Mus musculus: one gene and its partners. The protein of the gene in region 4 interacts with the protein of the main gene of each other region in a biochemical or structural test. Links are inferred from orthologs where the notes say so. Each region holds a gene or a part of one and is shown on either strand. Other genes may lie near its edges.

Evidence for each region.
Region 1: the proteins of Rela (region 4) and Cebpb form a complex in vitro, tested with the Homo sapiens proteins (2 studies listed by BioGRID). The link is inferred for Mus musculus from reciprocal best matches to the Homo sapiens genes RELA and CEBPB.
Region 2: the proteins of Rela (region 4) and Crebbp form a complex in vitro, tested with the Homo sapiens proteins (9 studies listed by BioGRID and IntAct). The link is inferred for Mus musculus from reciprocal best matches to the Homo sapiens genes RELA and CREBBP.
Region 3: the proteins of Rela (region 4) and Hdac1 form a complex in vitro, tested with the Homo sapiens proteins (2 studies listed by BioGRID and IntAct). The link is inferred for Mus musculus from reciprocal best matches to the Homo sapiens genes RELA and HDAC1.
Region 5: the proteins of Rela (region 4) and Pparg form a complex in vitro, tested with the Homo sapiens proteins (3 studies listed by BioGRID, with this or other methods). The link is inferred for Mus musculus from reciprocal best matches to the Homo sapiens genes RELA and PPARG.
Region 6: the proteins of Rela (region 4) and Pias3 form a complex in vitro, tested with the Homo sapiens proteins (2 studies listed by BioGRID, with this or other methods). The link is inferred for Mus musculus from reciprocal best matches to the Homo sapiens genes RELA and PIAS3.
Region 7: of the proteins of Rela (region 4) and Prkaca, one has a biochemical effect on the other in vitro, tested with the Homo sapiens proteins (4 studies listed by BioGRID and IntAct, with this or other methods). The link is inferred for Mus musculus from reciprocal best matches to the Homo sapiens genes RELA and PRKACA.

What each region holds. Positions count from the first base shown.
Region 1 is NC_000068.7:167,687,764-167,690,932, reverse strand, and holds Cebpb (CCAAT/enhancer-binding protein beta), read right to left. Parts: upstream 2,019-3,169; 5' UTR 1,912-2,018; coding exon 1,021-1,911; 3' UTR 501-1,020; downstream 1-500. UniProt on the Homo sapiens protein: Important transcription factor regulating the expression of genes involved in immune and inflammatory responses. Also plays a significant role in adipogenesis, as well as in the gluconeogenic pathway, liver regeneration, and hematopoiesis.
Region 2 is NC_000082.6:4,091,405-4,094,904, forward strand, and holds part of Crebbp (histone lysine acetyltransferase CREBBP), read right to left. Parts: intron 3,383-3,500; coding exon 3,232-3,382; intron 2,917-3,231; coding exon 2,770-2,916; intron 2,182-2,769; coding exon 2,068-2,181; intron 952-2,067; coding exon 786-951; intron 556-785; coding exon 388-555; intron 1-387. UniProt on the Homo sapiens protein: Acetylates histones, giving a specific tag for transcriptional activation. Mediates acetylation of histone H3 at 'Lys-18' and 'Lys-27' (H3K18ac and H3K27ac, respectively).
Region 3 is NC_000070.6:129,515,604-129,518,646, reverse strand, and holds the end of Hdac1 (histone deacetylase 1), read left to right. Parts: intron 1-525; coding exon 526-634; intron 635-723; coding exon 724-854; intron 855-1,138; coding exon 1,139-1,291; intron 1,292-1,698; coding exon 1,699-1,747; intron 1,748-2,010; coding exon 2,011-2,038; 3' UTR 2,039-2,543; downstream 2,544-3,043. UniProt on the Homo sapiens protein: Histone deacetylase that catalyzes the deacetylation of lysine residues on the N-terminal part of the core histones (H2A, H2B, H3 and H4).
Region 4 is NC_000085.6:5,636,154-5,640,340, reverse strand, and holds the start of Rela (transcription factor p65), read right to left. Parts: upstream 2,801-4,187; 5' UTR 2,507-2,800; coding exon 2,500-2,506; intron 2,378-2,499; exon of another isoform or gene 2,221-2,377; coding exon of another isoform or gene 2,193-2,220; intron 1,910-2,192; coding exon 1,883-1,909; intron 1,791-1,882; coding exon 1,639-1,790; intron 1,487-1,638; coding exon 1,338-1,486; intron 483-1,337; coding exon 391-482; intron 39-390; coding exon 1-38. UniProt on the Homo sapiens protein: NF-kappa-B is a pleiotropic transcription factor present in almost all cell types and is the endpoint of a series of signal transduction events that are initiated by a vast array of stimuli related to many biological processes such as inflammation, immunity, differentiation, cell growth, tumorigenesis and apoptosis.
Region 5 is NC_000072.6:115,360,965-115,365,148, reverse strand, and holds the start of Pparg (peroxisome proliferator-activated receptor gamma), read right to left. Parts: upstream 2,801-4,184; 5' UTR 2,732-2,800; intron 1-2,731. UniProt on the Homo sapiens protein: Nuclear receptor that binds peroxisome proliferators such as hypolipidemic drugs and fatty acids.
Region 6 is NC_000069.6:96,703,323-96,706,570, reverse strand, and holds the end of Pias3 (E3 SUMO-protein ligase PIAS3), read right to left. Parts: intron 3,046-3,248; coding exon 2,912-3,045; intron 2,833-2,911; coding exon 2,664-2,832; intron 2,513-2,663; coding exon 2,379-2,512; intron 2,223-2,378; coding exon 2,185-2,222; exon of another isoform or gene 1,723-2,184; coding exon 1,456-1,722; 3' UTR 501-1,455; downstream 1-500. Other genes in the region: Nudt17 (nucleoside diphosphate-linked moiety X motif 17), read left to right, coding at 43-202. UniProt on the Homo sapiens protein: Functions as an E3-type small ubiquitin-like modifier (SUMO) ligase, stabilizing the interaction between UBE2I and the substrate, and as a SUMO-tethering factor.
Region 7 is NC_000074.6:83,993,461-83,996,944, reverse strand, and holds the end of Prkaca (cAMP-dependent protein kinase catalytic subunit alpha), read right to left. Parts: intron 2,151-3,484; coding exon 1,986-2,150; intron 1,654-1,985; coding exon 1,528-1,653; 3' UTR 501-1,527; downstream 1-500.

The DNA of each region.
Region 1 (3,169 bases), on a different chromosome or scaffold from region 4:
AGAAAGGGAAAGCAGAGTAGGAAGTGTTCCCTTCACCTTCCTCTCGGCCCAATCTCTCTTCCAGCTACACAGGGACACAGACACCAAACAGGCGTGCGGTCTCCCCCACACCACCAAACACACAGAACTCACCTGCCCTGACCCAGCTGTCTGGACTAGCCTTTCCTACAGAATGTCTAGTCCTCTCAACACAAGTCTGACACTCAAACCAAGCCGAGGGCGGCCCGTCCCAAGCAGGGTTTCTAGCAAGTCCCCCAGCACCCGTGGGTGCTGAGTCACCCTGAATTCCTGACCTGGCACTCTGCCCCCTCTCCTGGGGGGAGGGGCTGACACCCCATCTGCCATGGGAAGAGAAAAGCCCAGATGCGACACCCCCACCCACCGCCACACACAACCCAAAAATAACCCGCAGCCCCCTACACACCAGAAACACAAAAACAAAATCTCGCATAAATCCAAAGTCGGGAGGGAAGAAAAAAAATTTTTTTTCAAAAGCCAACTACTGCCCCCAAAAGGCTTTTAAACATTCTCCAAAAAAGTTTATTAAAATGTCTTCACTTTAATGCTCGAAACGGAAAAGGTTCTCAAAATATACATACGCCTCTTTTCTCATAGAAATAGAACTTTTTTATATAATACAAAAAAAATAATAAGACCAAAAAAAAAAACAAAACAAAACAAAAAACAAAAACAAAACCAAAAACATCAACAACCCCGCAGGAACATCTTTAAGTGATTACTCAGGGCCCGGCTGACAGTTACACGTGTGTTGCGTCAGTCCCGTGTCCACACGCGCTCAGCCACGTTTGATCCGGATTGCATCAAGTCCCGAAACCCGGTGCGCTGTGCAGGTGCGTGCGCGCGGTGCCCGCGGTGTGCCCGCGGTGTCCCCTCGGTGCAGGTGCAGGTGCGCGCAGGGCACGCACGGTGGTCCGGGCGCGCGCGCGGGGCCGGAGCGCGCGGGGCAGGGCGCACGGTGCCCAGGGTGGCCGCGGCGCCCCCCACGCCACCCGCGCCGCGCTAGCAGTGGCCCGCCGAGGCCAGCAGCGGCTCGGGCAGCTGCTTGAACAAGTTCCGCAGGGTGCTGAGCTCTCGCGACAGCTGCTCCACCTTCTTCTGCAGCCGCTCGTTCTCCGCCGTCAGCTCCAGCACCTTGTGCTGCGTCTCCAGGTTGCGCATCTTGGCCTTGTCGCGGCTCTTGCGCACCGCGATGTTGTTGCGCTCGCGCCGCATCTTGTACTCGTCGCTCAGCTTGTCCACCGTCTTCTTGGCCTTGGCCTTGGCGGGCGCGGCCGGCGGCCCCGCGAAGCAGGCGGCGGGCGCGGCCTTGGCGTCGGCGGGGCTCGGCGTGCCGGGCGGGCTGGACGACGACGACGTGGACAGGCTGCCGCTGCTGCCGCTCGGCGTCGCCTGGTAGCCCAGGTAGGCGCGCAGGGCGAACGGGAAACCGGCCGCCATGGCGGGCGCGTCGTCCGCGCGCTTGCAGTCCGCGGGTTCGAAGCCCGGCTCCGCCTTGAGCGCGGCGGGAGGCGGCGGCGGGAAGCAGGCGGGCGGCGCGGCCTTGGCGCCCGCGCGGCCGAGGCTCACGTAACCGTAGTCGGCCGGCTTCTTGCTCGGCTTGGCGCCGTAGTCGTCGGCGAAGAGGTCGGAGAGGAAGTCGTGGTGCGCGGGCGCGGGCGCGGCGAAGTCCGCGGCGGGCGCGAGCGGCTCCAGGTAGGGGCTGAAGTCGATGGCGCGCTCGTGCTCGCCAATGGCCGGCTCGGCGGCGGGGGCGCGCGGCGCGGCGCGGGCCGCCTTGGCCCCGTAGGCCAGGCAGTCGGGCTCGTAGTAGAAGTTGGCCACTTCCATGGGTCTAAAGGCGGCGGGCGGCGGCGGGAGGCATGCTGCGTCCCAGGCCAGCAGGCGGTGCATGAACGCGGGGCCCGCGGGCTCCGCTGCGTCCCGGTCCCGTGCGCGGCTCGGACTCGGCGCGGCGGCGGCCGAGCGGGAGGTTTATAAGGCGGCGCCTGGCAACGGGCTGCGTCACGCTGGGGCCCCTCCCGCCGCCCCGCCACCCGGTCGGTGCGCGTCATTGCCCGGCCACGGGAGCGCGAGAGGGCGCGGCGGGGAGTGGGGCGCGGCGGGGGTCCTCGCGCGGGAGGCTGAGCGGTGACCCGGGCGTCCCGCCAGCCCCGCGATGGCCACGGACGCGGGTGACGCCAGCCCGCCCCCTTCCCGCCCCTCGGGAACACGGAGGAGCGCGGCCGCCGCCCGCCCCCTGCTGGAGGACGCGGTGGCTCGTCCCGGCTCCGGTCCGCTGTCCCGGACCCCCAACTCTTGGGAAACAGATCGTTCCTCCAGCTACACGACCCCAACCCTCGGATCCTGCCCGCTGTCCCCGGGCCCCAATTCCCTGGAAGCAGCCTTCCACGGGGTGCATGTCCTCCCACCCAGGTGCTGCCCACACCTCTGGGACCCCCCCCCCAACTCCTGGGAAGCAGAACTCTCCAGGTGCACGCCCACCCCGGGGATGCTCGCTGTCCTGGATCCCAGCCCTCCACCCTATGTATGGCCCGCCTACCGCACCTGCCTACGCCACTCCCTGCGCCTCTCCATGAAGGTGGCAGGGCTGGGGGTTCTGCCACACTGTGTCTGGGTGAGTCACTTTGCTTCTGAGTTCCCTCCGTGGACAGTGTTGGTATTGTTAGTAGTGGTGTCATCAGAGACAAACGGACCCCCGAGAAGTACGATGCCTTCCTAAGACCTGCACAGCCCTGCCCAGAGGCTTCTCAGGTGATTGCGGTGGGAGCATGGTAGACCCCACTCCAGCCATAAGGACCCAGCGGTCACCCTGCAAGCTGGGGAGGCAACCCCTCCACCCCGTGCACTTGAATGGGCTGGGATCACCAGCCTCTCTCCGGTGAGACCCTTTTGAGGACGCCCAGGGCAACTCTTGGGGCCCACCCTTCTGCCACTCCTAGGTGGGCCACTCAAGCAGGAGCTGCCAACCTGTCAGGGGCTGACCCCCGACCCATTGACCCCAGCCCTGGCCCCGGCAAGCTGGCGGGGTGTTGCTCAACCTTCGGTGTTATCTGCTGAGCTGGGGTGACCTCCGCCCCCAAGAGCTGGAGAAATGACATCTCCCTGTGCCCTTGGGGGTGGGGGGCAGGGAGGGAAAGGGTAAGACGCT
Region 2 (3,500 bases), on a different chromosome or scaffold from region 4:
TTCACTCTGTACTCCCTGGTACAGAGGGACAGCAAACAGTGAACAAATTGAGAAAGGGGGGATAAAAGGCAACACAAAATGAGCTGCCACAAGGTTTAGCACAAGGCCAGAAGATCAGTTGCAGTAACTTTCAGAACACTTGCAAGTAAATTCCACCTTCCTCCATGTACTTTTCTGGCTCCAATAAGACATTACTTCTCTCCTCTACTCTCCAGGTCTAACCACTAGGCCCCTAGGAAGTATCTCTTGTATAGAGACATCACATCTGCTTATCATTGTTGGTGATATTCTATGTATGTGAATGAGAACATCACCACAGAAATAGTATAGCAAGCGTATACTTCCAGCCTGCCACTCTGGTGGCACAGCTCTAGTAGGGGGCTATACCTCAGGAGTCTCACTCGCTGCAGTACTCTCTTCTTTTTTCCTTTCTTCTTCTTCTTGTTCTAGTTCCTTAATGCTTTCTTCCAACACATTAGGCCAGAAATCTCCTTCAAAATAGGGCAACTCCTTGGCACTCGTGAGCCTGTCTTCGTTCGCTTGTTTGAAGATGTCCTGGGAGGAGGCAGAACAGAGGTGGGGTGAGGTTCCTGGGGTGACTGCTTGAAAGGCCCACTGCTTTGACCAACTGTGCAGTTCATTCTGCAGTTTCACCAGATGCTTCCAGGCTCTTGCTTTCTATTTCTTGTAAGTGATCATAATGATAAAGCAGAGTGCCAGAAGAAAATACACAATGTATGTCAATCAGCTGTGACAAGCCCAGCGCCCTCCTTCAGCAGGATTACCTTATAGTCGTTAATGATCCTCTCTGCAAACGCCTTGTCCAGCATCTTCTTGTACCACTCCTGTAGTCGTTTTGGTTTGGGGATTTTCTGGTCAGGGGGGTGGCAATGAAAGATATAGTCATCTCCTTCACTTGGGGGACAGGCCCAAATATGTCCTGTCACATACCTACAGGATACATACGAAAAAAGCCAGACAGAAGTGTCAGTAAATTCAGATCTACTTTTGATGAACTGTAGCTTAAGAACTTAAGCAACTTAATGAACTTAAGGAACTAAAGAAAGGACAGTAGCCAGGCGTGGTGGTGCACGCCTTTGATCCCAGCACTCGGGAGGCAGAGGCAGGTGGATTTCTGAGTTCGAGGCCAGCCTGGTCTACAGAGTGAGTTCCAGGACAGCCAGGGCTACACAGAGAAACCCTGTCTTGAAAAACCAAAAACCAAAAAAAAAAAAAAAAAAAAAGAAAGGTCAGAAATAAATATGAAGACAGACAAAAATAAAAGACACAACCATAATGCTAGTGTAATTCTTATAAAATACTTGGGCTCCAAACCAGTATGTGAATGGGGGGGAGGGAGGGAGAGTGGAGGTGTTGTCTTCGTCACTTGCAAATTCAACCCTAGATTCAGTTCTGAGCACTTTGCTCTCAGAAATGCATGGAGCTGAGTTTGGCGGGACAGAGTTAAGGGATGTTTCCTTCTTACTTCCTCCTCCTGTGCACTGGAAAGGCAGCTCAGGAAGGTAATTCATGTCAAACAAATCTTAGCTACTCTGTGTAAGACGCTTAAGCAAACACTTTCAGGTTTGGGAAAATATGTATAAACAGAAACACTGTGTATTGAATCATGACTGCCAATTCTAACAGAAGACCAAAAAAGAGAAATGTGCAGACACAAAGTCGATGAATGGTTGTCTGCGAGCAGGGGCAGGACAGGCAGTAGCAGCAAGAGGGCACAGGGCTCTGTGTGGGAGTGAGGGTGCTTGGAGACTGACCAATGGGAATAGTTACACCAGTTACCAACAACACTAAAAACCATCGACTCCGAGACCTGAAACAGAGGCAAAAAGCATGATATGAAGATTATGCCTCAATAAAGTGGAAAAAAAAGGAAAAGCAAGCAAAAGCAGAGTAGACACTGTGCTCTGGACGCATGGGAACCTCAGCAAACTTCTGAACCAACCTTGATATGTTAGAATAAAACACATAAAACTCGATGAGAAAAACTTACTATTTCACAAAATAGACAAAAAATGTTTTTATTGATTCTGACTAATCCAGACTCACCCCAATTTCTTCACATACTCGAGATATCCGATGAGGATCTCATGGTAAACAGCTGTCCGGAGGCAGCGGGGCCGGAAGAAATGAATACTGTCCAGATAAGATATGTATACACGCCTGTGGAGGATAGAAAGCGGTGTCATTTTTATTTAACTTCAGGTGCCCCTCAAGATTGAACACAAATACCAACACCTAAAAACCCCCAGAAATCGGGTTTGATAGTAGTCACAGGCCATGTAACTGAAACAGAAGTAATATTCTGTTATCCAACAAAAGATATGGAAACTAACCCCCCTCCCCGGGGAGGGCAACTTAGGAAAATCCACTTTTTTTTCCCCACTCACCCAAAGTCCAGACTAAAACTAACTCTGGACTAGAGGCAGTTAGTTTGAGCAGGGCATCTAGCTGTTGCTACCCTAGCCCCCAAGTGACTATCTTTGGTAAGACAAAACAAGACTAAGGCCACACACACAAAAAGCATGCAACACTACTACCAGGACCCTTCCTCCCCTAAGAGTTTACTGGGACAAACAAACAAGCAAACAGCATCAGTAACAACACAACAAAACAAAAACTAACTGTATAAGTCAGTTAGCTATGGCTTTATCTTAATCTAGCACCAAAATATACAGCTTAAATAAACCTGAGCCTTGATCATACAAAATAGGGCTAAAAGACACATTCAGAAGTAAGATGGAAGACTACCTTGTATTTGGTGGGGGGCAATCAGAGCCGTATTCTTGCACATGCATCCCAAAAAAGCACACATCGACTCCATCGATCTCCTCAAAAGCAAAGAGTGCTTTGGTACGATATGGGAAAGATTCCGACATCTCTCCAGAATCCACAAACCTGAAACAAGCCAAAACCTGGTGTTTACAAGTGTTGTGTTCCAACTGCTCCTGAGCTAAGCCTGCTCTGTCAAAGAGCTCAAGGCTTGGCAACCTCCTGCAACAACAGCCATAGCAGTTTCAGGGCTGTATGGTAGCTCTTCCTAGTCCTGTTTCTTAGGGAAGGGAGGGACATCTCTGCTAATAAACTGGGATTCAGAAAAGAAAGTCACATGCTAGCTGCCACAAAGCTTCTGTATAAAGACGTCACACTTGAGTCCTCCAAAGACAGGGTAGGGTCTAGTCACAGTTTAGGACAGGAAGAAAGAACACAAACCTTGACTTCATTCCCGGCTTGACCTCCACAGTCTTGTCTGAGCTGGCCACCACTCTGACAAAAACCTCCCCAGCTTCAGGGTGATTCTGGCGCCGCAAAAACTTATTCACTCTGTCTTCTAAGTGGTTTCCCAATCGTGTGGTCTGCAGCCCTAAAAGAGTTTTGAATGAATAAGATTAGGCAGAGCTGTTGAGACTATTTCACCTTTGCTACTTTCAAGGACTAACAGTTGTTTTGTAAGAACATAAGAGTGCCATCCTGTGACATTA
Region 3 (3,043 bases), on a different chromosome or scaffold from region 4:
GGACATTGTCAGTCATTCAGATGTTTGATTTACAGTGAATGCAGAGTGCTTAGTGTTCTGCACTGCGGGCTTGGGTCCTTCTCCCCCTAGTGACACATACCCCACTGGTGTGGACACTGGAGAATGGTGTTATAGACATCAGTAGGTCCTAAGTGTAACCCCAGCCTTTAATAAGGAAGCTCGGAGCCGAGCGTGGTGGTGCACACCTTCAATCCCAGCACTTGGGAGGCAGAGGCAGGCGGATTTCTGAGTTCAAAGCCAGCCAGGGCTACACAGAGAAACCCTGTCTTGGAAAACCGGAAAAAAAAAAAAAAAGAAGAAGAAGAAAGCTCTTGGCCGCAGAAAGACTTTATCTCAAAAAGACAAAGCAGAACAGATTAAAACTTTGTATGTGTCCTAGTTTGTTCTGTCTTCTCTTTTTTTAAGTGGGTAAGCAGACCCAGAGAAAGCAAGCTTTCTATGCGTTTCCATGGGCCCGGTGGTGGCCGTGTCTTTATCTTCACTGTTCTCTCCCGTTGCCCGCAGAGCTGCCCTACAACGACTACTTTGAATACTTTGGACCGGATTTCAAGCTTCACATCAGCCCTTCCAACATGACCAACCAGAACACTAACGAGTACCTGGAGAAGATCAAGTGAGTGTGCTGCCAAGTTGTCTCAGTTTAACAGGCCAGTTTCTGACTTGTCTCTGACTACTACAGCCCATCCACCCTCTCTCCTGTAGGCAGCGTCTCTTTGAGAACTTGAGGATGCTGCCCCATGCCCCTGGGGTCCAGATGCAGGCCATCCCTGAGGATGCCATCCCCGAAGAGAGTGGGGATGAAGATGAGGAGGACCCTGACAAACGCATCTCCAGTAAGACTAGCTCCAGGGGCCTGTCCCCTGCTTAGTAGGGAGCTCTGCACTTCCCTTCCTCCTTTTCCCATCTCCAAGCTGCCCAGCTGTGTGCAAACATTTGTTTTGAGACCCCTTGCCTCCACCCGGCTTGGTAGCTTTCCTTGGTGTCTTGATGAGGGGTGCTGGGGATGGAACCCGGGGTCTTCTCATCCAGGCAGGTACTCTGCCACTCAGTATCTGTGGCAGGAAGGCACTGGGCCCCTTGCTCTCATACCAATGTTTCTCTCTCTGCTGCCTCCCAGTCTGCTCCTCTGACAAACGCATTGCCTGTGAGGAAGAGTTCTCGGACTCAGATGAGGAGGGAGAAGGTGGTCGCAAGAACTCTTCTAACTTCAAAAAAGCCAAAAGAGTTAAAACAGAGGATGAGAAAGAGAAAGATCCTGAAGAGAAAAAAGGTGAGTTTGGATTAGATCAGGAAGGAGCTGACCCAGACCCAGCCAGCTCCTTTGGAGCTTAAACTGGAGGTTTGAGTCTTGAGTCTTTCAGTGGCTCCTAGAGGTGGTGAGAACCACAGAACAGTGACAGTGACACTCTTGGTCTCTGCTGGCTGACTGACCCTGGCTCACATACCACCCAAGCCCTTTTCCCAGTTTCCCAGGGGGCTGCCTCTGCCTGTGTTCTTGCTGAAACAGGCTGGGAAACCGGTCTGACCTGTTTTCAGCCAACCTCACCAGAGGACCTGGGATAGGCTTTTCTCATTTTTCTATAACCAGTGAACTGTGGTATTGAAGAAGGGGTTTCAGGATAGAGGAGTCCGACTACCTGAGAAGCCTTCAAGCATACCTGTTCTCTTATTTTCTAGAAGTCACAGAAGAAGAGAAAACCAAGGAGGAGAAGCCAGAAGCCAAAGGGTGAGGAAAGGGGCTGGTGGCTCTCTGTAGCACTAGAGCATCATCACCTTCTGTGTCCTACCTCTGTGAGAGGGAAGGAAGAGCAGGGACAGCTGCTGGTCCAGCCTACAGAGAGAGGCCTCTTTAAGGGTGGAGTCTGTATGTCTCTGCCCAGTTCCCAGCAGTCACCTGGGCAGCCAGGGTCTATGGAAGTCACTATAGCCATGTTTGTGCTTCAGGGCCACTAGCATGAGTTTTCTCATGCCTGTCTGTTCTCTCTGCAGGGTCAAAGAAGAGGTCAAGTTGGCCTGAGCAAGGTCTGCAGCCCCATCTTCTCCCCAAGTTCCTCACTTCTCAGATTTTATATTTTCTATTCCTCTGTGTATTTATATAAAATATATTAACTATAACGTCCCCAGGGACCAGAGCACAGGGCAGTGGTGCTAGGAGGGCTCTTCCCAGAGCGACCTTGTCCATCCTGCCACCCCCCTCCCCCCATTTGCGTGGAAAGAAAACAACCAGAAGAGAAAAATCCTGAACTGCCAAGTGCCTGCTTAGGAGCTCTGCTAAGATGCCCCTGTTAAACTTTTTAGGAGGGGTCTGGGTCTCCTAGGACCCCTTTTCAGGCTTGGGTAATAGCAGCCATTTTTAGATTGGTTCTGTTTATACCTTCCCACCCATCTTGGGCAAACAAAAAAACTTATATTGCCTGTCTTCCCCCAATTCTGTAGGTGGAGGTTGATAGCCTAGCTTCCTTTTTGAGATATTTTCATTTTGTGAAACTCTTTGTAATAAAACAGCTCATTTCTATACCCTCGGCCCTGGTTGGTTTAAGTTCTTCCCCGTCTCTTGTGGGGCGTCACTTGCAGACCTACCTGCCTTTGTCCTCCAGGTCGGTGCAGTCCTCTTACCCACACCCCAGAAGACCACTCAATGAAACATCACTAAAGGGACGACATTTATTCCTTTTCCAAATGTTACAGTAAATCCGGGTGGAAGAATGGTTTTAGCAGTTAGAAAAAAAAAAAGTACAAATCTGGGGTTTGGCCATTAAAAGTTATTTACAACAATGGGAGGGGGAAAAAAAAAGACAACAAGAAGTTGTTTCACATTACAGACCTCCCTCCCTCCTGAAGCCTAACACTTGCTTATCAAGTCAGAGACATGGTTGATTTCACAAGCTGGAGGTTTGAACTTGAGTAAGACATTTATAAAAACCCAGATGGGGCAATGTCCTCCCCAGCCCAGGTGCCACTAGGCACAGCACAAGAGACTAAGAATTCAACAGGGGAAAGGCTGGACACTCAGGGTTTGGGA
Region 4 (4,187 bases):
ATTCAAGTCATAGTCCCCGCGCTGCTCCTCTATAGGAACTGTCAAAAACAAAAAAACAACAAAAACAAAAAACAAAACACTGTGGTGGAAGGCATTGGGGGTGGGGGAGGGGGGACGGGCCAGGGAGCTCTGAGGAAAGAGGAAGGTGATTTGAGGAGATGTAAAACAGAAGTCTAAGGGGAGGAAGACCCTAGATCCATCACGGCTCTCCAGGAGCCCTCTCTAGGCCTGACTCTCAACGGCAGAGTGTGAGTGTGTGCCAAGCTGGCAGCAAGGTTCCACTCCTGCTGCTGGGTTGGCCATGGAGGGAGATGAGCGGCAGAGGCCCAGGGAAGGTGACAGAGATACTTGCACCACACGAAGATCAATGTCTTTGCCCCTTGCTCCTACCGTGAAAGGGGTTATTGTTGGTCTGGATTCGCTGGCTAATGGCTTGCTCCAGGTCTCGCTTCTTCACACACTGGATCCCCAGGTTCTGGAAGCTGAGGCCTCAGGTATTAGTTTTGTGTCTCCAGCAGAGCCCCTTCTTGCCTCCCAACTCCACAGCTCTCAGGTATGTCTAGGCTTCCCACTCCTTACCCACTGGCAAGTCTCTGAGGGAGCTGGCCCTCGCAGGCCTCCAAGCCAGTGCCCCACCTCAGCCACAGGGGCTTCCTTTCCCAGACCTAAGCACACGAAATGGAACGTACTCCCCTTCCAAGGGCATCGTACTGCTTGCTTGCTTGCTTGCTTTTTTTTGTACTTCTTTCTCGTGCACGGAATGTTCTTTTGGGTCTGTCTGCTTTTTCTCACCATTTAAGAGTTAGCACAGAGGCCTTCTGTAACCCTCCAACCCAAAGTCGTGAGACCTGTGCAGCAGGACACGGTGCTACATGCCTATTCCCCTGGAGTTGAGAAGAGGAGGCAGGGGAACCCTAACGAGTTCAAGGCCAGCTTGAGCTTCCTGAGACCAGACTCCTCCTCCTAATTTATAACTGTGTTTTCTTTCCATCATGGAAGTTATAATTCTCTACCAGTATCTCGTCTATCTGTCTGTACAATTATCGCCTGGTTTTACCAACTGGTATTTAAGCTCTAGGAGGGTCCATTTGGATATCTTTCTGATCCAAGAGGCTAAGAGGCTGGCCTGTCCAGCCATAGGGTTTGTGGCTCTAAGAAGATAAGGAGTTCCCAACTGTTAGAGAATTCAAGACAAAGGAGGTCTGTTTGCAAACTGGAGACAGAGTTAAGAACTCTGGATTCTGCCTGTGTTTAGAAAAGAGCAACACTGTAAGAGCTGCCTGGCCGGCCTGCTCCTACCCTGCCCTCACACCACCCCCAGCCCATAGGGAACTCACCTATGGATACTGCGGTCTGGGCAGAGGTCAGCCTCATAGTAGCCATCCCGGCAGTCCTTCCCCACAAGTTCATGTGGATGAGGCCGGTGAGGTGGATCCTTGGTGACCAGGGAGATTCGAACTGTTCCTGGTCCTGTGTAGCCATTGATCTGTCCAAAGTACAGAGTACTCTAGTGGCCAGCAATCCCTAATCTGGCTCTTAGACACAGGGCACGGTGACCAGGAGGCAAGTCTGCTGGGGCTGCACAGTGCGTTCCACCACATCTGTGTCCCAGCGACACCCCTGGGGGCTCTTGCTTACCTTGATGGTGGGGTGTGTCTTGGTGGTATCTGTGCTTCTCTCGCCAGGAATACTGCCCGCTGAGCGCCCCTCGCATTTATAGCGGAATCGCATGCCCCGTTGCTTCGGCTGTTCGATGATCTCCACATAAGGCCCAGAAGCCTGGGCTGGCTCTGTGGGTGACACAGTCAGCCATCAGGTGCTATCCCCACGGCCCCGACTCCAGGACAGCCCCTGACTACTGAGGATGGATGGTCCAACTTACCTGAGGGAAAGATGAGGGGAAACAGATCTGAAAGGGAAAGACAAGGCACATTGTCAATAAACTCCAGTGCCCACCCTCACCTGCGAAGGCCTGACAGAGCCAAGCTCCCTCCCTTCCAAGAAAACTGAGCCAAGACCCTGAAACCTGCCCTGACAGAGGCCGGGGAACTAGAGAAAGGGGACACAGAGGCATTCCTTTGCCAGGGGAAACTGAGTCAGTGCCTGTTTTACGTTCATAAGTGACACTGAGGAGGGGGTAATACCCTCCTCTCCTCTTCTGGGGAAACTGAGTCAGATACTTTCTTCCTTACACGGAAAGGAAGCCAGAACTAATCGCATCGACACGGGGGTGGGGGGAGCCGGAGGAAACGGAGTCAAGATTCACCCGTACCCCCACCCAGGAGGGACACTGAGTCAAGGCGCCCTCCACTGAGAGGGGTAACTGAGTCAGACCCCCTCGCAGCCCGCCCCGCCCCGTGCCACCATCCGGCCTGCCGCTCCCTGCGCAGCAACCCGCGGCGCAGAAAGGGGCGGAAGACGGCGCGGGGAGGGGGGAGATTCCGCCGCAGGCCCCGGAGCTCTAGGGCAGCCATCCCCCGAGCCAGAGGGCAGCCTCACCGTCCATGGTCAGGGTCCCGGGGGCGGGGCCGGGGTCGCAGCTGAGCCCACGGCGCGCTAAAGTAAAGCCATTCGCCAGAGGCGGAAATGCGCGGCGCGCGCCCGTCGTCGCGTCACTGCCCGGAATCCGGCCGCGCCTGCGCGCTGAGCCGCCGCCACCGCCACCGCCGCGCGTGGGGGGCCGAGAGCAGGTGCGCGACTCACGCTGGGCGCGGAAGGTGTGCGGCGGGCGCGCGGGCGGGGACACCGCAGCGCGGCGGGAGGACGCCGAGGCTGTTTGTCCCGAGGCCGGCCCGACTACAAGCTCCGCAGCGCGGCTCGCTCGGGGTCCCGGTCCCGTTCCCGGCCCCGCCTGGAGGGCGGGCCCGCGATTACTCACTCTGTTTTTAGGGGATTTCGGGTCCCGTTCCCCGCCCCGCTCTGATCTCAGGAGTTTGGTGATGTCACCCTGGCCGGGACTGGAGCCGAGCCAGGGCTGGTGGCAGGCTGCGGCCATTCGCCCTGCGCAGGGAGAGGCCCAGGCCTGCTGCTCCCGCGGAGGCCAGTGACTGAATTCCACACGTTTTCCTAAGCGTGCAGGGGCCTTCTGGGGACCCGCGTGCTACGGGCCACATGCTCCCCAACCTAGATCCGGCTGCGCGCAGGAGTGCTTCGCGGAGCGAGCGTGCTGCATCCGACAGGCCTTAGGGTAGAGGGGCAGACCGAGGACTAGGCAGACACCTGTACCTCTAAGAGTCCCTGAGAGCCATGAGTGCTGGAAGAGCCCCAGGGCTTCGTCTGCACACATAGGTGCTGTCTGCTAAGGTTTAGATCTTTAGGGATCTCCGGAACCAGCTAGGGTCACACCGTGAACATCTCCTTCAAGGCCTCCCAGGAGTCCAGGCTCCAATGAGGAAAGCGTTTGTAGGGAGCAAAAATTGCCATCTAAGCCAAGGGCAGGTGTGCAGATTGAGTGTGGGGACTCTGGCCGGAGGACGCAACACATCAGGCTGCCTCCACTATGCCAGAAGGAGGAGGCGCCTCCCGGGCCACAGGAGGTTTCAGCACTCAGAGAAAGACTTATTTTCTCTAAATTAGGAAATCATGTGGGAATTGGAAAAGATTGGAAATTCTGAATTGCTTTCCCAGGCTCTGAAAAAAACAGGAAGACAAAAGTGAAAATAGTTACGCCCCTCCCACTCATTTCAGTTTCTCACTTGGCGCAGATTAGAAAAAGCAGTTTAATATTTTGCGAGGGCGGATGTCAAGGCGACAGAATGAATATAATCTCCAATTAATGGCACACAGCCATCATTGGTCCTCACATGAACCACTTGTAAAAACACATATAGTTACAATTTAAGTTAATATGAATACCAGCGTCCTTACTAAAAAGTAAAGGCTAGAAATGAGAACTCAGTAGTTTTTGCATAACGTTGCAGGAAGCTGGGATTTGATCTCTGACTCCAGGATGCTCCAGTAATCCCAGCGCTCATGGGGTCAGACGTTCAACGTCATCCTCCTCTACATAGTTTGAACCCATCCAGAACTACAGAAGATGCTCTTTAAAAAAGGATGGTTGCAGGCTGGAGAGATGGCCCATCAGTTAAGAGTCGATAATGCCCTTGCAGAAGACCAGAGTCCAGTTATCAGCAACTGTAACTGCAGCTTCCGGAGACCTCACACTGTTCTGGGCTCTTGAGAGCAAC
Region 5 (4,184 bases), on a different chromosome or scaffold from region 4:
GGTAGGCTGTCTTTAGGATCTCAGCTCGGGTAAATTCAGGGCCCAGCTCTTATCGTTTAGGAAATCCAGGCTTGCTGATAAAAGTCTTAAAACCATACCCAAGACAAGCAAATAGAAACAAAGACTCATAACTTTAAGCTTCCCTAACTTTCCATACTTAGAAAGAACATAATAATTGGAGTAGTTAAGCAGCATATGCATCCATGTTCTAAACAGAATATTTGATTAAAATATTGATATGTACGTATAACTGAAGAGAAGTAGTAAGAATAAAGCTAGGTCTTAAGATAATGATTTAAGGATATACCATACCAGTGGTAGATATTATCTTAACATGAACCGTACATTTCGCCAAAGTATGGCCTATTGTGTTTGAGATCTCCTTATAAATGCAGTTGTGCTGGATAATTTATTAAATTTAATATATATAATTTAAAATAGATAATGTATAACTCTCAAAAACCTCCCCCTGTATTGTGAGAAAATTACAAGAAATGAACAAAAACCACCTTAGGGGAAAAAAAATTAATTTTTTTTTTAAAAAACCTCATATGCTATGAAACTAACTAATATATAGTATTTGAGGCTCCCTTGGTATTGAGACCAACATTTAACTGGCCTTGCTTTTTTTTTGGTCAACTTAATTCTGTTTCTAGTGACCTTTGTAAGCAATCATGCCGCTGCCCTTTTTGCTGTATTTAGGCGTTAAGAAAGTGAAGTTAAGTAATGGATAACAGGGAAATTTGCCACAAAAATAAGAAAAACAAGAAAGAAATTCACTTTGACAATTTGTGGGTTGTGCATATGTTTAAAATTACATACTATTGACTTAAATCAAATTGTCTTGACTAGTGTAGTATTTTTTTAAATCTTCTACCAATATTTACTTAGTGGAATCCTATGAAAGCAAAAAAAAAAATTCTTCCAGTATTTTTGCCTCACTTTATGACACAGAGAATATTTCCAAGTCCACATGACAATAAATTTAGCAGAAAGACACAAATTAGAATGGCCAACATGTCTTGCCATACGCACCGGGCACCTACAGACCCTGTGAAAGCTGTGAAAATATTCAGACTTTTGGGTAAATTATTTTAACAAAATTTTTATGTAAGTTTCCTTCTATTAGCAACCACTTCATAATTTGAAAAGTAAGTTAAATACATTGCTGATCCTTATACATGTTTTCACAGTGCCTTTACATATTCCCCACACAGAAGGATCTTGACAAGACTGATGGAATATTCTTTTCAGAGACTTAAAAGTAAAAAAAATCATTTATTTAAATATGTAAAACTTACTAACTGAAATCAGTCACTTGCATAATCCATTTCTACGTCAAAAATTTAAAGTCATGCTTTTCATATATGAATTTTAAATGTCATAGGGATTTTGAAACTAAAGATATGATTTTTTTTAAAGTGTAATTTGCCCTTTTCTGTTAAAGTGATTCTGAAAGATGTAGTGACATGAATGTTAGGAAAACCAGCTCCTTTAAAGGAAATATACTTAATTATTAAAAAATAGTTATCACAAAAAATATCAAAGTAGTCTTAAGTATTGATGTGTATAATGTTTCCAGGTCTTTTAGTTCTAATGTGTTTAGAAGAACTTATAATCTTTGAAATATAAAAGACCGAGGAAACAGCATCAAAAAACTCTTCGGCCTAGAGGCATCAAGAACTTCAGACTTCACCGGCGCCATTGTTCTTCAACAGTTTGAAGAGTTTGAAACTTTTACATATGAAAAAGATTTTTTTCCTTAAAAAGAAAACTGTCAACAATCTTTTCCCTTCTAGTGAGCTGCAAAAGCGTGAGGTGACCACCAGTTGCTCCTTAGATCTTCTCACTGAAGATATAGTTCTCAGCAAATTAAATATGAAGTAGCACTGGAGTGAGCAAATTTACACAAAACACACAGTAAAATAAAAATCGAGGGCTTTATAATATGTTTCACTCCAACTAAGGCATGACACTGAGTTAAAATGTTCATATATTAAAATTAATATTTCGGACATTTACTTTAGAGCAAATGTGGTTGAAGATAAGACAACAGAGAACTTATTTTAAAGTTGAAACCCAATCTTCTGAAATGCTGCTCCAAATGCTCGTAGTATCTATGAGTGCTTCTGTCAAACTTGCAAGAGAACTATCTCTTTGAGTAGTCATAGCGTATATCCGTTCCTACCCTAGCCAGGTTTTAAATCACAGAGCACCTGGAGTTAGTTACATTTTTAGTCAGCAATTGATCACTTAGCTATGGACGACAGGAAGACTCCCACAGAGCACCTGATATCTTTGGAAGACCTGCCCAAGTCCAAGACTAAGTTATTCATTTAATAACTCCAGTTAACAATTTGCTTCGTGCATGATAATAAAGAGTTGACATTACAATAATGAACTCCAAATCAAGAGGCTTTCCAACTGTTAGCTATCCTACAACTTGGTTCATCTGGTTTTGTTTTCAAATGATCATTTAATTTTACATTTTTGTCCTTCATCCTGCTAAAAAGGGACACCTTTTAGCCTCTTCCTCACAGAAAACTTAACTTTTCTTTTTTCCCTTCTGAAATAAATGGCACGACCTCCCCCCTATTAGCATCAGAAGCAAAGCAGATTCTTAACAGTACAAGAACACAGCCAGACCATCCTGATGTGTAAGAACTTGGGGGCAGTTTGGCCACTTCACTACACACACCAACAAAAACGTGATGACGATGGGGCCACTCACCTACTCAATGGGAGTTAAGAAGAATTTAGCGCTGCAGCCTTCAGATCCCCAGCAGAGGTCCAGGCCCCTTCTTGACCTCCTCGCGTCCCTTATATAAAAGCAGCCCAGGCTACTCCCAGTTTCTGCCTCCTCACCTTAGGCTCCTCCCCAATCCCAAGCCATAAAGCACCGGGAGCCACACACCCACCTTCCGCCCCCAGCACGAGGGCTGCCTACTCCCGTGAGCCGGGCCCTGTGCTCGCCCCCTGCTTAGATTGAAGAGGGGCACTGGCGGGGCGGGGCCTTGGCGACAGTGACCCCGCTTTCCTCACACCTGGTGAGCCCCGGGCAGGGGGCCGTGGGCCAAATCGCCTCCGTGATCACGGGCGCATCCTCCTCCCCACCCTCCGACCCCTAGAGCCTCAGGGCGACCGGTGGCTGCTGGCGAGCCCCTCTCTAAATCTGTCACCAGGATCCGCACAATGCGGTCCCCAACGCGGTAGTTCTGGAGACCTGGCTTTCCTGTCAGGGTCTGGAACAGGGGCAACCCTGTTCCGCGCTCACACACATGCCTGCCTGCGCACCCTCTCAGGGAAGCACTGTGGCCCTCCGCACCGTGCCGGTGCCCCTCACGAGGACAGTCACCCTGTCAGTCACACTCGGCTCTCCAGGAGGGTGACCGGTCCTCAGCCGAGACCCCTCACTCTGTCCCTGAGTCCGCGACCCCGCCCCGCTATCACTCTCTCGCTCTTCTCTTGTGTGACTTCTCCTCAGCCCGCGCGATCCCCTCAGACCCAGACTCTGTCACCTTGTCTGTCACATTCGGTCCTGTCAAGAGTTTGCCTTCTCCTCAGCCGGGGTCCCTTGAGTCAAGATTCTGTCACTTGGTCACTCTCCGTCCTGTCGGAGTGTGGCTTTCCAGCCCGTATCCCCTCTAGTCGAGACAGGGTTAGGCTGTCAGTTACGCAGCCCTGTCAGAATGTGACTTCTCATCCCGAGTCCCCTCAGCGGAGACCCAGTCACCTAGCCAGTCAGATCCAGACCCCACAAGCCGAGACCCCCCCTCACCTTGTCTGTCACACAGTCCTGTCAGAACGTGACTTCTCAGCCCGCGTCCCCTCAACCGAGACCCCGTCAGGCTGTTGGTCTCACAGGCTCCTGTCAGAGTGTGACTTCTCCTCAGCCCGTCCCCTCAGCCCGGTCACCTTGTCGTCACACTCGGTCCCCTCAGGCTGCGCGCGACCCAATACCCCAGCGCAGCGCCCCAGGTCTCTTCTTCCGCGTCCCTCCGGCGGGCCGCGTGGCCCGGGGCGACTCTGACCTGAGGCGGCGGCTTGGCGGGTGCTGTGCGTCGGTGAGGCCGACCCGACCCGAGCGCCCCAGGCGGCTGCCGCTCTGAGTGCGACGGGCCCCGCCTGGCCGGCCGCGGACCGGAGGAGCCGAGCCGAGCCACCCGGCCGGACCGGGGGCGGTG
Region 6 (3,248 bases), on a different chromosome or scaffold from region 4:
AAGCTACAAGGCACAACCCAGACAGAAACTGTTATAATCCAGTGCAACCGAACTGAAGGACGATGGAGGAACCCAACCTCTGGTCCTGCCCATGCCCACACTCATGCGGACAACCCCAACCACAGCAGAGGAGGACAAAGAGAGGATCGGCGCTGGAACCAAGTTTGCCCTCCAGCTCTGGTTGCAACATCTGGGCAGATGAGGTAAGGACCGACTTGCGGGTAGCATAGTCTTGGTACCAGATGATGTTTTTAGGGACATCAAAGAAACAAAGAGAAAGCAACTGCTCTTGGCTATGCTTGTGCGAATGCCCACACTCCCTCCCAGGTAAAAGTGACGTCCACACAGACCACAGACCAGCAAAGGAAGCCTGTCAACCCAAGACCTGGGATGTCCTTCGAGATGGAAGGAGAGGCCCTACTCCATAAAGCTGCCCTCTGACTTCCACGTGCAAAACCATGGTGCACGTGCCCGCATACACAGTAATAAACACTTTAAATGTTCTTTTTTTTTTTTTAAGTGAAAGGATGGAACATGGACCCTCTGCCCCACAAACCCTGGGTCTGGAAAGCGAGGTACAACATCCCTTCCCCTCCATGACGCTCACAGAACATTCACAACCTTTATTGTAGGCGAGAACTCTGCTACAACTTTGGGAATAAAAGTAAAATCACATCACAGGGCCTTGGCCCTGAAGGAAGGGGCCTGAGTATTGGGGAGGAGAACACAGAGCCCCCATGTCCCACAAAAGGTGCAAGAGTAATCCAGGCCTGAACACAGGCCACTAGACGCTTCGCCCCTTGGCTGTTTAGCATAAAAACATTGTGAACTTAAATATATAAATAGAGACCCAGGCAGCAGACAGGCCACGCCTTGCTCCCCAGCCCCTGGGAATCACAACTAAGGCCTTGTTTCCTCCTCGAGTCACACTGGGGAGTGAAAGGCAAGGGATTTCATCTTTGGATGCTTTGGAGTTTTCTTATTTATGTACAAAAAAGAAATCTGCAATCCAAAATAGAGTTCTCTGTCCATCTCTGACCTGTCGCCCGACTGTATGGTCAAAGAGAACGGAATGGATGTCAAAGACCAGATATTTGGGTTTGGGTAGGGAACGGAGAGTCTTGGGAGAGGAGGCAGGAAAGTGCCTTTCCCCAAGAGGCTGAAGATCTGGTAAAGGCTAAGGACCCCCTCATCCCTCAGTCCCTATCCCATCTGCCTCCCACTGCCTAGGTTACCATACCCAGAGGAATGTGCCACCATAAAAAGGTTAAATGTTAACCCTGTGAGTACTGGCCTGTTAGGCAGCGATAAGGCCAAAAGCAGGTATCCATGAAGCTCTGGCCTGGCCTTTGGCCAATGACCCCTGAGGGATCAGAGCAGCCAGGGGTTCGGAACCCACAACGTGATCTGCTCAGTGCTGGGGCCAATGGAGATTGATTTCATAATCCAAAAAGCTCAGTCCAAGGAAATGACGTCTGACCGACAGCCAGTCAAAGAGGGACCTGAAGGCAGGGGTCCTCCATGCCCTTCCCTCAAGGAGCTCCCAGGAGCCACAATGCTGCTGACACGACCAGGAGGGGGCGCTGGAGTGGAGCTGCGGTGAGAGCTCCCCAGTGTGGGGGCCAGTGGGCCCAGGAAGTGGGAAGGGGTTCCCCGGTACTGGAAGAAGTGGCCAAGGGTGTCCTGTTCATCTAGCGAAGTGATAACTGAAGGGCCGTAGTGCTGGAGAGATGAAGGGCACAGCTTGACGTGTTGTCTTGACTCAGCACCTCACTCACCTCAGAACCACCTCGTGGGGTACCAGCCCTCAGGGATCATACAGCATTCTTGAGAAGAAAAGCTGGGAACCTCTGCCTCCACCCTACTCCCCCAGACCCTTCTCCTGTGCCTTGCCTTGAGACAGCCCCTTCAGACATCCAGTTCTTGGCCTTGTGGGTGTCTGAAATGTGTGGAACATCCACTAGGGAAGGTTCTGAGTCCGTGTGGGGGTGAGTGAGCAGGAAGAGTGGGGCTACGAAATCACAGGTGTGACTATGGAGTGACGGGGGCAGGGAAAGGACCATGTTCTCCCCTCACAGGAAAGCATTTTTAAATCCCTAGGGACACTGGGCAGGGGAAGAGCACATCATGTGTCTAGAATGGACTCTTCCGAGATCTTGGATCTTCCTAAACATGGCCACTTACCTGACTCTCAGTCTGAAGGAAAGAAAATAAATCTAAACCTGGTAGGAAAAGAAAAATCAAAATCAACTCCCTTCTGACTCCTTCACCACAAGGGGAAAAAAAAATCCCCCTGTCCCTGGGGCTCGGCAAAGAAACAGGTCTGGAGAGGGTGACAGGGAACGACCCTCCCCTCCACCTTAGGGTCAGTGTTCTACCTTGGATGTCAGCCCCCAGTGGGAAGGCAGGTGGGTACTCATGTAGCGGGAGACTAGACAGGAAGTCACTGCCCAGTGTGCCCATTGCAGGGCTCCGCAGCACCGAGGATGGCTGGTGACCAGAGGTCAGGGCTCTGTGAGTGGAGAGAAAGAGCCGGAGAGCTAGCCAAGCGCAGATGCCCCACGTCCCACTCCGCCTGCTCTTCCCTGTCCCAAAGCTCGACCTGTGGCCAGAAGGCAGTTCTGACTTCTGTCCCTCTGCTATGGGAGCAACCTTTCTCATACCCTTTGCTTCCAGGAAGGGCTGGAATGGCCGCTGAGGTGACAGGGCAGTGCTTCTTGGTGGGGGGCAAATCCTCCTCATCTGATGAGCTTTCGATGGTCAAGTCAATGACTTCGACCCTCTTCTTACTCTCTGGCTGAATTCCCTCCTGGACTGCGCTGTACTGGAGACCTGTGGGTGGTTAAGAAGGCTGTCTCAGAGAAAGGGCCAGCCATGACTTAGCTCAATTGGGGAGCAGGGGGTCACTCACCATCCAGCCCATACCCTGGCGGGGGGCAAACCTCTGATGCCTCCTTCTTGGGTTTCATCGGACACCAGGATCCATCTTCCATGAACTGGATCTCATCACAATCCGAACAGGAATTAAGAATTTCCATGAATAAACTAGGGAGGAGGACATGTGGATTCACGAGGCTGGACGCGGCTGGAGCCACCCACGGTGTTCTGACACTCACTTCCTATGCTTTAGTCACCTCATCTGCATCACCCACCCTCCTGGACCTCCCTGAGCTGCTGCTGGGATAGAATACAGCTGGGACTGTAGCTCAGTAACAGAGCACCTGCTTAGCCTGCAGGCTGAGTCTGAT
Region 7 (3,484 bases), on a different chromosome or scaffold from region 4:
ACCCAGACGTCCTCGGCGCCCAGCCCCCTCTCCACGCCTCTCCGCGCTCAGCGCTCTCGGGACCGCACTTACCGGGAACTAGCCGCGCCGCGGCCGGACGCGCCTCGCTCCTGGGAAGCCGCGGAGACCTCACCAGCGGCCCTGCCGCGCCTACATGAGGGCTTGGGGGCGCGCGGGGCTCCCCTTTTCTCCTACCCTGCTAATCCTGCTGCTGTTTGGCCGAACCGGTCCGAGTGGCCCTCTCCAGTGCCCTCTCTGTCCCGGACTAGACCGAAGTAGGGGTGGGAGCAGATTTGAGGGCCCCGAACTCAGGGTCAAAGGACAGTTTGCCCACCCCACCCCTCCTTTCTCTGGCCAGGCGGAGGAAGTACAGGAATTCCAGCCAAACCTGGTTTCTCCAAGGTCCCGAGGCCGGGGTCTCCAGAACCTGGACATTGAGGTTCGAAATTCCCTTTCCAACACCCCAAGGGTGTGATCGAAGTCGGGAAAACCAGCGACACTTTTATTTTAAAACAAAACTTTATTGGTAATAGTTTTCAAATATGTTTACAACAGCACACTGTTCAAGAGGAAGTCTCATCCTTCGAAGCACACAGGTTGAACGACCCCCTCGTCCACCCGGGGCCCCCACCCAGGCCTGAGAGCTCCTCCTTTTTGGGAGAAGTTACGAGAGGGATAAACACAGGGATAAATGGGGTAATTTCCCCAGCAGCTCCCCACCTTTCTATTGAGAGAAAAAGCACAATCAGACTTGGGGTTGCAGTGAGTGGGGACGCACGGCAAGAGGTGATGGACAGCTGACAGCTAAGCTAGAAGCGAGGCGCCCAGGATGGGGGAGGCTTCTTAAGGGGGCTGATGCACAGGACAATTGGCATGAGACCACTGGAAAGGGGGGCCGGGAGGCTAGCAGCTCAGGGCGAGATTCCAAGCCCAGTTCCTTCCTTGACAGGGTCAGTTGGCTACCCGGGTCTCATCAGAATGGATTTAGGGAGTGAGGAGGGTGTTTGGGGAGGGTGGGACAGTTTGGAGGGTGGGAGGCACTGGTGGAACTTAATTTAAATGAAAAAAAAAAAAAACCCCACTGGCAAGCAGCCCTCTGTACAGGTCATAAAATCTCCCTTTCCAGGTAGGGCTGCATGGAAGGGAAGGTTGGCGTTACTGTTCGTTCATCCTTAGTATCCAGTGCTAGGGTCGGGAAGGAGGCTGAATTTGGGGCCCTCTTTCCGTACCCTGCCCCTGGATACACCAGCAAGATTGGGTATGGCTGGAGCTAAGAAATTCATTGAAAACAGGCAGGGAAGGGTGGAGAAGAAGGGAGAGGGGGAGCAGCTGATGTTGCCCCTTCCCCAGTATCTGGAGCGCTTTCCTGCTCTCCTTAACCCTGGGGGTGTGGAGTGGATGTTAAATTAGATGCATGGAACTCTAGGGCCCTCTGGCTGTTCGATCCAACCCTCCCACCCCCAACCGGAAAAAAAATAGAAAGAAAAAGAAAAAATGAAAGAGAACCCAAGGGGCACAAGCACACCCCTAAAACTCAGTAAACTCCTTGCCACACTTCTCATTGATGGAGACCCGGATCTCTTCCTCCTCATAGTCGTCAAAGTTACTCGTGTCCCCAGGGCCTTTAAACTTTGGTATGAAGGGAGCTTCCACCTGGATAGGAATCAAAACCACCCAGATCACATTAGCTGACCTTACCATCACAACAATAAAGGTGAATGGCTTAATATTCAAACAACACTTGCTGTGACCCAGGCCTGAGCTCAACATTAAGGTCTTCTCTGCAACCCAACTTATCAAATGGAAGTCACTTCCCAGAGGATATTTCCTGCCTAAGACCACAAAGTGGCCAGAAAAACCCAGTATCCACCATGTATAGTCCCTTACTGGCTTGAGGAAGCCTTCTGTTTAGTCTGGAACTTAATGGGCTGTCTATGCTATCCTAGCCGTAAGTCCAACTTTGGGTATGGGAAAAAGAAGCCCACCTTTCTCTGATAGATGGCAATCCAGTCAGTCGTGGCAAACCACTTGTGGTTCTTGATGTCATTGACCCCGTTCTTGAGGTTCCCAAAGCGCTTGGTGAGATCCACCTGCAGAAGGTTCCGCAGCAGGTCCTTCAAGTCAGAGCTGAAGTGGGATGGGAACCGCACCTGGAAGGGGTGTAGATACGAGTGGGGCGCTGCTCATAGGCTTTGGGGGTCCAGAATGCCACCTTCTCCATTTTTGACACAATTCCCACCCCCTCCTCTGATACCGCAGACAAGGTTTCTCTGTGTAGCCCTGGCTGTCCTGAAACTCTCTGTAGACCAGGCTGCCTTCAAACTCAGAGATCCACCTATCCTTCCAAGTACTGGGATTAAACGTGTACACCACCGTACTGGGTGAGAAAGGATCTTAATGTGTAGCTCAAACTGGCCTTAACCACACAATCCTGTCTCCTAGCCTCCTGAGTGCTAGTGTAGAGTATGTACCACTGTACCTGGCAGACTAGGACCTGTTCTATCCAATAGGCCTACAGGGAGAATCTGTTAAGAAGGCTTGTGGGGCTGGGCAGTGGTGGCCCATGCCTTTAATCCCAGCACTTGGGAGTCCAAGGCATGTGTATCTCTGTGAGTTTGTGGCCAGTCTAGTTTACAGAGGGAGTTCCAGGACAGCCAGGGCCAAACAAACAAACCCTGTCTCCGAAAAGAAAAAAAAAAAAAAAAGAGGAAGAAGTAGAAGAAGAAAAAAAAACCAAGGGGGGGGGGGGAAACACTCAAAAAACAACAAAACAATGGCTTGTTAGAGTGCGGTGGCACTCACAGATAATCTCAACATCAGCATCCAGTCAGGCAAGTGGATCTCTGTGATGTGAGTTTAAGGCCAGCTTGATCTATACGGCAAGACCAGCCAAGGCTACATAAGAATACCTGTCTCAAAAAACCCAAAAACTCATTGCTGCACTAACAGATGGCTTTGTTCTTGCAAAGGTCCTGGTTTGTTCCCAGGACCTCCATTGGCCTATAACCACCTGTAACTCCATTCTTAGGGGATCTAATGCCTTTGGCCTCCAAGGTTACTGTATGCATGTGTACACATGCACATACAGACACACAAATTAAAGTAGATAAAATATAAACAGAGATGGCTTGTTGGAGCTAGCACTACAGCGCTGGGGCAGGTCGGAGCCCAACATACACAGGGCTCTGCCTTTAGGCCCAGTGGCCATGCAAACAAAAAAAAAAAACATGTTGAATGCCCTCCTTAGTTTGCTGGCTCGGGAATTCTGGGTAAGGTCGCAGGGAACAGAACTGTAGGAGGTTCCATTCTTAGGTCTGCAGACTTGTATCCTCGCTGGGATCCTTCAGGCAGCTCCTCTGAGGGCTCCGAGGGCTTCGAAAATAAGGGTAGTTCCTCAGCCTGGATAAAATAGCTTGTATGGTTCACCCAGTCATGTACCTCCAAAAGCTCTTATACAATTCTGCACGCTTCCTCTGGATTTACA